Linked DNA regions of Saccharomyces cerevisiae S288C. The protein of the gene in region 1 interacts with the protein of each later gene in a pairwise test. Each region holds a gene or a part of one and is shown in the gene's direction. Other genes may lie near its edges.

The links.
Region 2: the proteins of SLS1 (region 1) and MTF2 interact in binary tests that used the Saccharomyces cerevisiae proteins (3 or more experiments, as listed by UniProt).

Annotation. Positions count from the first base shown.
Region 1 is NC_001144.5:420,204-427,020, reverse strand, and holds SLS1 (Sls1p), read left to right. Parts: upstream 1-3,547; coding exon 3,548-5,479; downstream 5,480-6,817. Other genes in the region: PUT1 (proline dehydrogenase), read right to left, coding at 405-1,835; RRN5 (Rrn5p), read right to left, coding at 2,247-3,338; NHA1 (Nha1p), read right to left, coding at 5,627-6,817. UniProt on the Saccharomyces cerevisiae protein: Involved in aerobic respiration where it is required for assembly of respiratory chain enzyme complexes III and IV. Also has a role in mitochondrial gene expression.
Region 2 is NC_001136.10:373,220-379,430, reverse strand, and holds MTF2 (Mtf2p), read left to right. Parts: upstream 1-4,141; coding exon 4,142-5,464; downstream 5,465-6,211. Other genes in the region: peptide alpha-N-acetyltransferase complex A subunit NAT1, read left to right, coding at 1-557; NAD-dependent histone deacetylase SIR2, read left to right, coding at 986-2,674; spliceosome assembly protein PRP11, read left to right, coding at 2,951-3,751; FAD1 (FMN adenylyltransferase), read left to right, coding at 5,823-6,211. UniProt on the Saccharomyces cerevisiae protein: Required for the processing and/or for the stability of the CYTB and COX1 intron-containing pre-mRNAs and of the ATP6 transcript. Could be a stem-loop RNA-binding protein that plays a role in determining RNA stability.

The DNA of each region.
Region 1 (6,817 bases):
GTGTATCAAGCAAAACCGCTTTAAATCTGATGTTCTGCGCTTTCTCCCTTTGATTAGATTCAGGTCTTATGTAGTTTATAGAAGATGAGTACCTTTCTTGTGCATAAGAGTTGATAATAAGCCTGACGACGACAAGCCACTTTCCTACCGATTTAGGATTGGCAAAACATCTGGTACTATTCGAACCCATAATCAATAGGAAGAAAGCTTTACCAACAGATTGTTATTTAAGTGGTTCAAGTATATTAACTCTTGATATCCGTGCGTTTACTTTACTATTAGTGTTATTATCATTACTTATATATAATATGTATAACTAGAACATCAGAATTATGTATGCATACTTTTTTTTTTTTTTGGTTTTTTGGTTTGTCTTTGAAATTGGAGTATATATTATAGTCCTCTCATAGGCCTACTCTTTTTGGAATCGACTTTGCTATGGCCTTGATTAATGGCCAGCCATTATCAGATCTCACAGCATCCCCGTTTTCTTGCAATCTTCTCAAAAGATAATCTTTAGTTTCCAATGGTGGGCCCCATGGGACATACTTGATTATGTTTTTAGCGCCATGGTTGGTAATTAGGTCATAGGTAACATTATCTGCCATACCTAGTAATTGCCCCAACACAATGTTCGATTTGGCATAAGAGTTGTCTTGGGTAGATTTTAGCAAATTAGTAACGAGCATTTGGGATTGGTAATTATGAGAGGCGACAACCAAGTGACCAAAATAAGAATCCTCGCCATTGATGATTAAATCATTGACAACTTGAGTGATGATACGATCGTAATTTTCGTCAGTGCCCGTTTTATCGCCAAAGATAATTTGGTTACGGTTTTTTTCAGAATGAATATAAGCACCACGAACCAGTTTCAGCCCAAGCTTATAGCCGTTTTCTTGGGCCAGCTTCAATTCGTGCAAAATATGGTCACCAGAGTCCCTTAGGTACAACTGCCAAGTACCGACACATGATATCAGTTTAGATGAAGTGGGATTGAATTTTTGAAATAAGATTCTCTGTAATTCGTAAACACCATTCTCCTGCAAATCATACTTCTCAGCGTCAATAGTGGAAACCATAAATGGGGCCTTTCTTTCAGGGTACTTCTTTAACAAAGATTGATTTAGTTCAAAAATCTCTTTTGTAATCTTAGAGCAGTTCTCGATCAGCTGATCCCTTTGAGCCTTGTAGGCGGGATTACTGAAATTGTACAGAACCTCGTGAGGGTTATCGACCAAAGCAGAGGGTTTTAGAGCGATATAACCTGGAGCAATGTCATTGATTGGCTTAGATTCCAGCTGGCCAATAATATTGGGCAGTAGGATGTTGTGGACAGAGCTGATTGTTTCCTTGACAATTTGGTCTACTGGAGTACTGGACAAACTCTTTGTACCTTCGGAATTTTCAATAGTTAATGAAAGCATCATGTTCGATATACCTCTCTTCTGCAGACGTTTGCCGCATTCGATGACCTCTTTAAAGTTCTCACCGCCACAGTATAAAGAAGAGACGAAGAATTTTATTACTGGGATGGGGATGTAAGGGAACAACTTAATGATCGTGTTCAGGAAGAAGCTGTTCAAGGTCGCAATACCGATGAATCCCAGTTGGAATAGTTCCTTCTTGGGAAGTGTCTGTAGAAAATTGATTGAGTTAGGAGGTGCCATCACACTATTGCCGTTGGCATTGGCGGCCGGAGTTTCAACCATCAGATTAGCAGCCGTGTTAGAGTGTGTCGGAGTCTTTGACACATAGGACCTCTTTATCAAAGGAAAGCATAGAGAGGGTATGCGCGATTTAGTAACTAATAAGGAGCTTTTGGAAGCTATCATTTCTAGCGTGCGTTAGTGTTATTACTATGTAGCGATGTTTATGATATATAAAAGACAAAAGAGAAGAGCTGCTACGGACTTGTGGAGTTTGTGTTCGGTTCCCAGCAAGCTTTATATAAGAAGGCAGAAGGGTGAGAAAATGGGCTTAGTTCATGCGATTTCTCCTGATAATAGACGATACTAAGTACAATAATGAGATGATAAGGGAAATAGCGCCACTCATCAATTGTTTATCATTCATTTTTCTTGTGTAGATATGCTTTTCGGGATGCGAAACCCGAGGCGTGGTAACCGGAAAGCCATTGCCGAAAGGAAATTCCAATCAAAAAAGCGGTGGAGCTAACGGAGGGAATAAGCGAAAGAATAATGAAAACAAAAATTATGTCCCTGCGCGATTTTTCGCATTGTGTCTCATTTGGATAACCATTTTAGCAACTGATTTTCATGTAATGCTGATCGGAACAAGTCCGCTTCGTCGATTTCATCCCTTTCTGCCTCGCTTTCACCTTCACTTGCAGTGTTATCTTGTTCTTGATTTTCTTGATTTTCTTGATTTTCTTGATTTTCGTCTTGATGGACTGGGGGCGCATCCCGTCTGGACAACTGGCTTTGTAGAAACAGATGTGCCATCTCCTTGGTGCGGAACAGTTTGCCCTCTCGCGGATAGTCTAGTTCCCATTTGCGCAGTGTCAAAACAATGCGCCTTGGAAGCACGTGTAGGTCACGTGATCGGGCTTCTGTGCATAGTGCACGCTCAACTTGCCGGCGAGTTACCACCGTCGGTAGCGACTTGTGTCCTCGAGATTCGGCCGCCCTGGCGCTGACGCTGCGGGAAGCCATACCCGCAAGGGCCGTGCACCACAGCAATGTACGTGTGTAGCGACTTACGCAGCGCTCCAAAGTCTGCGTCGCGCTGCGCGATAGCGGCAGCGCGTGGCGGGGCAAGGGTCTTATCTCCGCGATACGGCTGTGCGAGTAGATGGCCACCCACCTGCGTTTCCAGCTTTCATAATCGATAAGGCCCTCGCAGTGTCCTTCCTCATCGGCAACCTCGGCTGCGCCTTCCGTGATGGCCATCACTGTCTCGCTCAGTTTTGTCTCCAGGGCAACCCACTCAGCGCTCATTTCGTACGCAATGGGCGCTCCGTCGTCACCCGCCTTACGCGATCTCGCGCTCGCACTCGCTCTCCTTAACAACCTGTAATAACCTAGAATCTCCATGGCGCTCTTCCGAGGCAACAATGAGCGCCACTCGTCTACACGGTGGATACTATAGCGTGAAAGGCACCAGAAAAAGGTATTCTTCTCCTCGCTGTCCCAGTCTACACCAACGCTAGAGATTTCTACACCAGCATTGGCGGTACCCGCCTTTTCATGGATGCTCTTTACATGTACTTTGGAAGGATGGAACTCAGCTGGGCGGCCTGACGCGGCACCATTGTAGAATTCCTCGACCTCCTTATTGTACAATTCGACGTACTTCCGCAATTGTTGGTGCTCCATCCTAGGTGACCGTCGTATGCGCTGTGCTTTCCTAGCTCTTCTTCCACTTCTGTTTCTCTATACTTTTTTTTTTGTTTTTCACCTCGCCCGCCTTTTCTTATTTCAGTGAACTGAAAAAAAAAAAAAAAGTTATGTATCTTTAATGTAATAAAACTAGTACATAATATATACGGAGCTTGAAGGCACTGGAGAAAATATAGAGTAAGCATATGTGGAAATTCAACAAAAAGCTCGCCCGTCTTACTTACCGTCTTTATTCAAGCTCAGGCCCAAGCTCGCCCCTTCATGGGAAGAAGAAACTGCCGCAAAATCTGAAATTCGTCGTCTTGAACCCTACCCAATCTGGGCTAGTGAAAAATGATCAGAAGCAGCCTAGACACAGGCCGTCTAAGAAACGTAGCCATAAGGAAACTGGAGATAACAACCTCGATTTCGGCTCGAAACTCCTTGTCTTCGAAAAGCAGAATTCACTAGATTCCGCATTGAACTCCATCCGATTGAAGAAACCGACAAGCGCCAGTCTGCCCTCCCTGGAATACAATGCCCTTCTCCAATCGCTTACATCAAGCTACAATCGCTACCAACTGCGCGAGTTCATCTCCACACATCAGCCAGACTCCTCTTCACATCTGACGCACTGGAAGAAAAGCAAGCTGTCCCAATATATAATTGAAAAAATCTGGAATTGCCAACCAATTTCAACACCCACCACTCCCACAGGCATCAAGTCCACATCATTGACTTTCCAGTTCGATTCTCCTAGAGAAATTTTCCTTTTACTCATCACTCAAAATGGTAAAATACTCACCAACTTCAATAAGCTCGGGCTGACATTCATCATCTCCATTCAGGATAACGAATTGACCGTCAAGGGTTCGCCTAGCTTGCTCAAATACGCAGAAATATCCTTAAACAAAATATGGTCAAACATCACTCATGAAAATGTGCGTATGTATTCCCTCATGCCATCAAAAGACGTCATCAACCTTATTCAGAAGGAAACTCACACTTTTTTTGAATACCTCCCGGACTTGCAAATGTACAAGATTTCAGCCCTAAGCACCAAGAAAATATCCATGGCCAAAGTCTTTTTATTAAATGCCGTCGCTTCTAATCCTAACACAACTCAACACCACCACACAATAGCCTCACCAGCACTCAAGACAGAACTCTATCCGTTCAACAATACTCTAGAGAACTTGGACTGGCTAAACAAGTCACAAGATTGGGCAAGATTACAGTCAGTTGTCCCTAAAAATTGCACAGATCTGATGACTCCCACTGAAAACGCCACACCAGAATTGACAGATGCGCAGGTCAGCCAATTCGAATCTTCCTTGTCTAAAAATATACCATCTCTCTCCCCTTCCGACTCTATTTCCCAATCTTTATCAATAACGCTAGGTCACTCCTTACAGTCCGCGTCTTTTTCTAGTATTTTCCAACCTCTAATACATAAGAGTTTTATTTCAAAATTACTGAATCTACCAATGTACAAAGAATCATCATCATCAGCCGTACCTGTGCCTGTGCCTCTTGATCAACATCTAATAACAAATGCGCATCAATCCTTCATACAGCTGAACTTCACTCCTGTGCCGCCCACCTCTGGCTCCTCCTCGTCCCCTTTTTTGCAGATTTGGTTCGAGATTGACGAATTCGATAACATTGTTACCACCTCAATGAGGCCTCTTTTGAAATTACAAGAAAATTCTGTTATCTTAAGAACTCCACAATGCCAGACAGACTATAAGATCACGTCAGATTACATTCAAGATCTTTTACCTGATTTCGACCAGACCAATCCGGATGCTTGGTTATCTGAACAAAAAGGCCTCCAAGAATTTCTTCTCAAGTCACACTGGAAGTTAAACAAATATCAGAATCTTATGAAAAAAATCAACATTTCTTTACCAGATAACCTAATACAGCAATACCAATTGACTGATGTTTTGACCCATCGTGTCTTGAATTTACGATTTCCTACGAACACTGCCCAAGATGATAAATACATCATTCAATATTCAGATATCAGCCGCGGATTTTTGAACAATGGCTCCTACAGACAATTAGATTTCATCAATGTGAACCCCAGTGAAACCTCACTAAAAACCTTTATCAATGATGTTTTAAGCTTTTAAGTTTAACGGAAAAGAGTAATGACAAAACCGCATACCCCCCCCCCCTCCCCCTCTTTACCGCATCTACTCTATTTCCGACACATGTAAATAAAAAAGGCATTTCGTTTATATATATACTAAAATAATATATCTTTGTGTATTAATAAATTACTTATTGAGACCAAGCGTTTTTGATAGCGCCGACTTAACAGCAGCACTCTTTTGCTTTTTTTTTCCTTCCGCTGTACCTGGACCATCGTTTCCTGTTTGTGCCTCCACAGGTAAGGGCGGCAACTCTTCGTCATCTTGATCCGCTGGTGCCGTCATCTCACCTAACGCATTTAACCTTCTTTGTCTTTCGAATTCAGTTTCTGATTCATATGCATTATCGTCGTAATCTTCACTATCGTCCATGTTATAACTATCACCTAAATCCTCCTCAGATGAAGGTTCATCTTCCAGATCTAAGGAATCTTGAACTCCTCTCGGTGGCGCAGGTGTTAATGTCCTTTTCTTTAACATCCCTGGGCCCTTCCTGGAGGGTCCTTCGATGGCTTTTTCTTCATCTACTGGAGGCGGTACGCCGCTGTTCGCTTTGCTCTTTAGTCCTACTGCTGTTAAAGCTCTTGATACAACACTATCGTTTCTTGGGCGGTTTTTACTTTTATCATCATCAGATTTATGAGGATTTATCTTGTATCTTTTTATAACATCACCGTCCTCATTCTCGATGATTAACAGATTGTCTATTTTAAATGCATGATACTTGCTGTTTTTATTTTTATCCTTTCCTTTATCAACCAATGAATGTATCTTTCCTAAAGATGTGGGAGTTAAAATTCTCTTTAACCTTCCCCCACTACTACTGGATAGATTGGTCATTGTGGTAGTTAAACTTGAATGGGCTGTACTATCAACACTAACTTCGTCATCTCTCGCCTCATTGCGATCCTCGATATCTACTTGATTCAAGATTTCACCTTGCTTATTTTCAATAATCATTCTATTACCATCTAAATAAGCAGTACCAGGTTTCATTTCTTCCTCTTTCATTTTTCGAATTCTCCTCTCTTCACTACTGGCCATTGATCTTTCACTTTCATTTTCCATCTCGTCTTCGCTTTCAATCTCGCTTTCTGTCTCTTCTCCATCGTAACGGTTTCTTGGTACGTAAGTTCTTCCTCGGAGAGATGAAGATCTTTCAGACGACTCAAAACTTGGTGTGTTATTGTAATTATCGCTATATTCCTTTTCCGGTGTGTACTCATCTTCTTCTTCATCTCCACCCATTCCAATCTCCTCATTACGTTGTGTATTGACGGCTGTGCTCAATGCAAATGTGGCGGCGCGTGCTTCCTT
Region 2 (6,211 bases), on another chromosome or scaffold:
CTGCTTATCCGAGTGATCAAGATAACGATGTATTCGGCGAAAAGTTGATTGAAACCTCCACTCCAATGGAGGACTTCGCTACCGAATTTTATAATAACTACTCCATGCAAGTCAGAGAAGACGAAAGGGATTATATTTTGGACTTTGAATTTAACTACAGAATTGGAAAGTTAGCTTTGTGCTTTGCTTCTCTAAACAAATTCGCTAAGAGATTTGGCACCACGAGCGGTTTATTTGGTAGTATGGCCATTGTTTTGTTACATGCCACAAGAAACGACACCCCCTTTGATCCAATTTTGAAGAAAGTAGTCACGAAGAGCCTTGAAAAAGAGTATTCTGAAAATTTCCCATTAAACGAAATATCTAACAATAGCTTCGATTGGCTGAATTTCTACCAAGAAAAATTCGGTAAGAATGATATAAATGGCCTGCTATTTCTGTATCGCTATCGCGATGATGTTCCGATCGGAAGCTCTAATTTGAAAGAAATGATTATTAGCAGTCTTTCTCCCTTGGAGCCTCACTCCCAGAACGAAATTCTACAGTATTACTTGTAGCCTGCAACTCCTCAATGTGTCAATTAACTCTTACTTAATTTATGTATATATTTTTTATGTATATGCTTATATGCATGCGCATATGCTCATAAAAGATACATTGTTATAGGTCATTTCTTTTCCAAGCTACATCTAGCACTCCTTCCAACCATGGTCCAGGACAGCCAGGACCTTTTCTTGCCAAAATTCTTGCTTTCCCATCTCAGAGAAAAAACGAGGAATTTTTCTTTGTCCTCTTTGGCCGCCAGTTGCGGTAAAATATTTTTTTTCTAGGTCGCATAGTTTGAAAGACTTGTCTTTTTCACCACCCAAGAAAAATATATTTAGTGAAGAGATGTAAAGCCCATTCTCACGTATTTCAAGAAATTAGGCATCGCTTCGGTAGACACATTCAAACCATTTTTCCCTCATCGGCACATTAAAGCTGGATGACCATCCCACATATGAAATACGCCGTATCAAAGACTAGCGAAAATAAGGTTTCAAATACAGTAAGCCCCACACAAGATAAAGACGCGATCAGAAAACAACCCGATGACATTATAAATAATGATGAACCTTCACATAAGAAGATAAAAGTAGCACAGCCGGATTCCTTGAGGGAAACCAACACAACAGATCCACTTGGGCACACTAAAGCTGCGCTCGGAGAAGTGGCATCGATGGAGCTCAAACCAACTAATGACATGGATCCCTTGGCAGTGTCAGCAGCTTCAGTAGTGTCAATGTCCAATGACGTTTTGAAACCAGAGACGCCCAAGGGGCCAATCATAATCAGTAAAAACCCATCAAATGGTATTTTCTATGGTCCCTCCTTCACTAAACGAGAGTCTCTCAATGCTCGAATGTTTCTGAAATACTATGGTGCACACAAATTTTTAGACACTTACCTCCCCGAGGATTTGAACTCGTTATACATTTACTATCTTATCAAGTTGCTAGGCTTTGAAGTTAAAGATCAAGCGCTTATCGGCACCATCAACAGTATTGTCCATATCAACTCGCAAGAGCGTGTTCAAGATTTGGGAAGTGCAATATCTGTCACAAATGTTGAAGACCCATTGGCAAAAAAGCAAACAGTTCGTCTAATCAAAGATTTGCAAAGAGCAATTAACAAAGTTCTATGTACAAGATTAAGATTATCCAATTTTTTCACTATTGATCATTTTATTCAAAAATTACATACCGCTAGAAAAATTTTGGTCCTGACTGGTGCAGGTGTTTCAACTTCATTAGGGATCCCGGACTTCAGATCTTCTGAGGGGTTCTATTCAAAGATCAAACATTTGGGGCTCGATGATCCCCAAGACGTTTTCAATTACAATATATTTATGCACGACCCCTCTGTTTTCTATAATATTGCCAATATGGTTTTACCTCCAGAAAAAATTTATTCTCCATTGCATAGTTTCATTAAGATGCTACAAATGAAAGGGAAATTATTGAGAAATTATACTCAAAACATTGATAATTTGGAATCTTATGCGGGAATAAGCACAGATAAACTGGTGCAGTGCCATGGCTCTTTTGCTACTGCCACCTGCGTTACCTGCCATTGGAACCTACCCGGTGAGAGGATATTTAATAAAATTAGAAACCTCGAACTTCCACTATGCCCGTACTGTTACAAAAAAAGAAGAGAATATTTCCCAGAGGGATATAATAATAAAGTAGGTGTTGCTGCATCACAGGGTTCAATGTCGGAAAGGCCTCCATATATCCTTAACTCATATGGCGTTCTCAAACCAGATATCACATTCTTTGGCGAAGCACTGCCAAATAAATTTCATAAGAGCATTCGCGAAGATATCTTAGAATGTGATTTGTTGATTTGCATTGGGACAAGTTTAAAAGTAGCGCCAGTGTCTGAAATCGTAAACATGGTTCCTTCCCACGTTCCCCAAGTCCTGATTAATCGTGATCCCGTCAAGCACGCAGAATTTGATTTATCTCTTTTGGGGTACTGTGATGACATTGCAGCTATGGTAGCCCAAAAATGTGGCTGGACGATTCCGCATAAGAAATGGAACGATTTGAAGAACAAGAACTTTAAATGCCAAGAGAAGGATAAGGGCGTGTATGTCGTTACATCAGATGAACATCCCAAAACCCTCTAAGTAGAAGGCAATTTAATAATTTAAAAGTGCCAAATTAATATCAATTTACATAGTATGGCAAACAATTTTGTTTTCCTTTCAATTATTGTAGTCAAATATTATTTACATTCTGCTATTTTCATTGTACCGGGTGAAATATTACATGTACCGCCCATCTCACTAAAAAAATGAAAAAAAAAAATCTGCTAAAGACGCAAGGCTCTCACAAATAGCTTAATGTAAGAAGGGCAGGTGGAACAGCAAATTCAAATCATTTAACGCATCCATACATTCAAAATGAACTATTTAGAAGGCGTTGGGTCAAAGAAAGGAGGTGGTGGTATAGCCTCAGAATCTCAGTTTAACTTACAACGAAGGAAAGAAGTCGAATCATTACTTAGTAAAGGCGAAAATGTCCCGTACACTTTCCAAGATGAAAAGGACGATCAAGTAAGGTCCAATCCGTACATTTACAAGAATCATTCCGGTAAACTGGTTTGTAAACTATGTAATACAATGCACATGTCGTGGTCCAGCGTTGAAAGGCATTTGGGTGGTAAAAAACATGGTTTAAATGTGTTAAGGCGTGGTATCAGTATAGAGAAAAGTTCTCTAGGGAGAGAAGGCCAAACAACTCATGATTTCCGACAACAACAAAAGATAATTGAAGCTAAGCAATCTTTAAAGAATAACGGTACGATCCCTGTTTGTAAAATAGCTACCGTGAAAAACCCGAAGAACGGTTCAGTAGGTTTGGCTATCCAGGTAAATTATAGCAGTGAAGTCAAAGAAAATAGTGTCGATAGCGATGATAAGGCTAAAGTCCCTCCTCTCATTAGGATTGTATCTGGTTTAGAGCTATCAGATACCAAACAGAAGGGAAAAAAATTTCTCGTTATTGCGTATGAACCCTTTGAAAATATTGCTATTGAGCTACCTCCAAACGAAATATTATTCAGCGAAAACAATGACATGGACAATAATAACGATGGAGTAGATGAATTAAATAAAAAGTGTACATTTTGGGATGCTATATCAAAACTTTATTACGTTCAATTTTTCTTTAAACAAGCCGAACAAGAACAAGCCGATGTATGACAGTATTATTTTTGGGTAACGTTAATAATCGGCATACAAAACTCTAACCAAATTGGATTATATAATAGCTATTAAGGAAACAATTGTCTTTACAAGAGTTTTTTTTACGAAATTTTCCCATCCAATGTGCACTTATTCTCAGGGAGTATAATAACCATATTCCTCTAAAATTATATTACTGCTCAACTTCCATGCGCTTTTGCGATCTAGAGTATTTATGTTACCATTTATCAACAGTATCTAGTACTCGCAGCATACATACGTATTTATTCAGAAAAATGTAATTAGGCGAACAAGGCCGAAAACTGTGATGTGACAACGCTTGCTATACTTGAGAGATAATTGTAAAGGAAGAAGAGGGAACTAAGGAAGAGTACAACACGCCATACAATGATCAGAACATCATCTATATTAAAAAACTGTAACTATAGATACATACATTGCATCCATAGATGCTTGCTGAATGAAGCCAATTTGAAAGATAGAAAAACTCACAACGTAGAAAGAGTTTCAAATGAAAAGACATTTGAACAAGCTCTCGAAGAGGAACGTAAGGTATTTGGAGAACTATTCGAAGCTGGAGCAAGGGTTGAAAACATGAGGCACACTAATGCTAGCAAAATAATTGACAAGTATTACAATGGGCTACAGGACAACTCCGAGGGAACTAGTGTAAAAAAAGAAAAAATTGTTTTTAACCACAGTCAAAGAGCTCAAAGGAAGCTTCCAAATAAGGACCATGAATTCCTGAAGGAAACAGCAGGCAATGACTATGTCTACGAACGGGCAGAACCTTCTGCTATTAGCACTAAAACGATAAGTGAGCAGACAAGAACTTTGCTGGAAAAGATATTTGACGAAGATAATAGCATTAATAAAAGCAACAGAGAATTGCTGAATCTTAATCTGCGCAAGGGCTCGGGAATGGAAGCTTTGAGGCAGCCAGTTGCACATTCCAACGTCAAATTTAGCGAGGAAGTGATGCAAGAAATTGGTAATAAGATTCGGTACCAAACCACACTGGATCAGGTTTTAGAACCTCACATTGACTACTTGAGGGAAGCTGTTAAAAGTGATTACGATCTTTTAAGATACCTAAAGCAATCACTAGACATTTACAAGAAAAGGAACAAAGACCTAGAGTTAAAGATGAATGCAGAATCTTCAAACATTTTCGAAGACATTAGAAGTGCGTGTATAAATAAACCGGCAGAACTACCGAAACCGCTTGCAATGACTTTACCATATATTATAGTCAAATCGCTTAGATTAGGTGACTTTGATTTCCCGGCAGACAGAAAGTACACATTGATCTCCTATGTTTATAATGAATGTAAAAACAACATGGACGCTTCACTGTACCTAACAATTTGTAATGTTGATTTCTACAATTTGCTGGTTCAGCTATTGTGGGAAAACTTCCAGGAGATTCGCTACTTGAGACGTGTGGTTACCGAGATGAGCGTTAATGGTGTCATCGGAAATATTGAAACCGTGGATATATTGGATAAGATTGTCAAAGAAATGAGAAGTTTAAATGAGGATGTCTTTCTTGAAGCAGGAGAACAGCTCAGTGCAGATGAGGAAGTTTCGTCCAGCGCAAATAAAATAGTGAATGTAGGTGTTTTATGGAATAAAGACACGAATAATGACTTACTAATTGTTGAAAATTATCTCAAAAGCCTCAAAAAAAATTTAACTAGAGACAGGTAGAAAATTATTCAAACCTTGTAAATAGTGTTATATATATGTGTTAGACTTAAAAGCGCTAATAAACGTTCCTGCTCGCATTTAACTTCTGTTCCAATTTTCCTATTTTTTAGTTAGCTTGTTCGGCAGATTTCAAATTCATTGAGTCCGAGGAAACAAAAGGATGGGAAGAGCTCAAAATTTGGAGATGGGTTTCATATACAACACGTTGGTTAGCAAGAACCTAAGGATCCGTCTATAGAAAGAACCTCGAAAAATCTTCGAAAGATTTTGTTGACTGAGAGTGGAAAAAACTGATATTACTTTCTCGGTATAGAGGGCAACATTTGCAAAAAGTAATAAACAAATAGGGGAGCACAATATGCAGTTGAGCAAGGCTGCTGAGATGTGTTATGAGATAACAAACTCTTACTTACACATAGACCAGAAATCTCAGATAATAGCAAGTACACAAGAAGCGATACGGTTGACAAGAAAATACTTACTAAGTGAAATTTTTGTACGTTGGAGTCCACTGAATGGGGAAATATCATTCTCGTACAACGGAGGAAAAGATTGCCAGGTATTACTACTGTTATATCTGAGTTGCTTATGGGAATATTTCTTCATTAAGGCTCAAAATTCCCAATTCGATTTCGAGTTTCAAAGCTTCCCCATGCAAAGACTTCCAACTGTTTTCATTGATCAAGAAGAAACTTTCCCTACATTAGAGAATTTTGTACTGGAAACCTCAGAGCGATATTGCCTTTC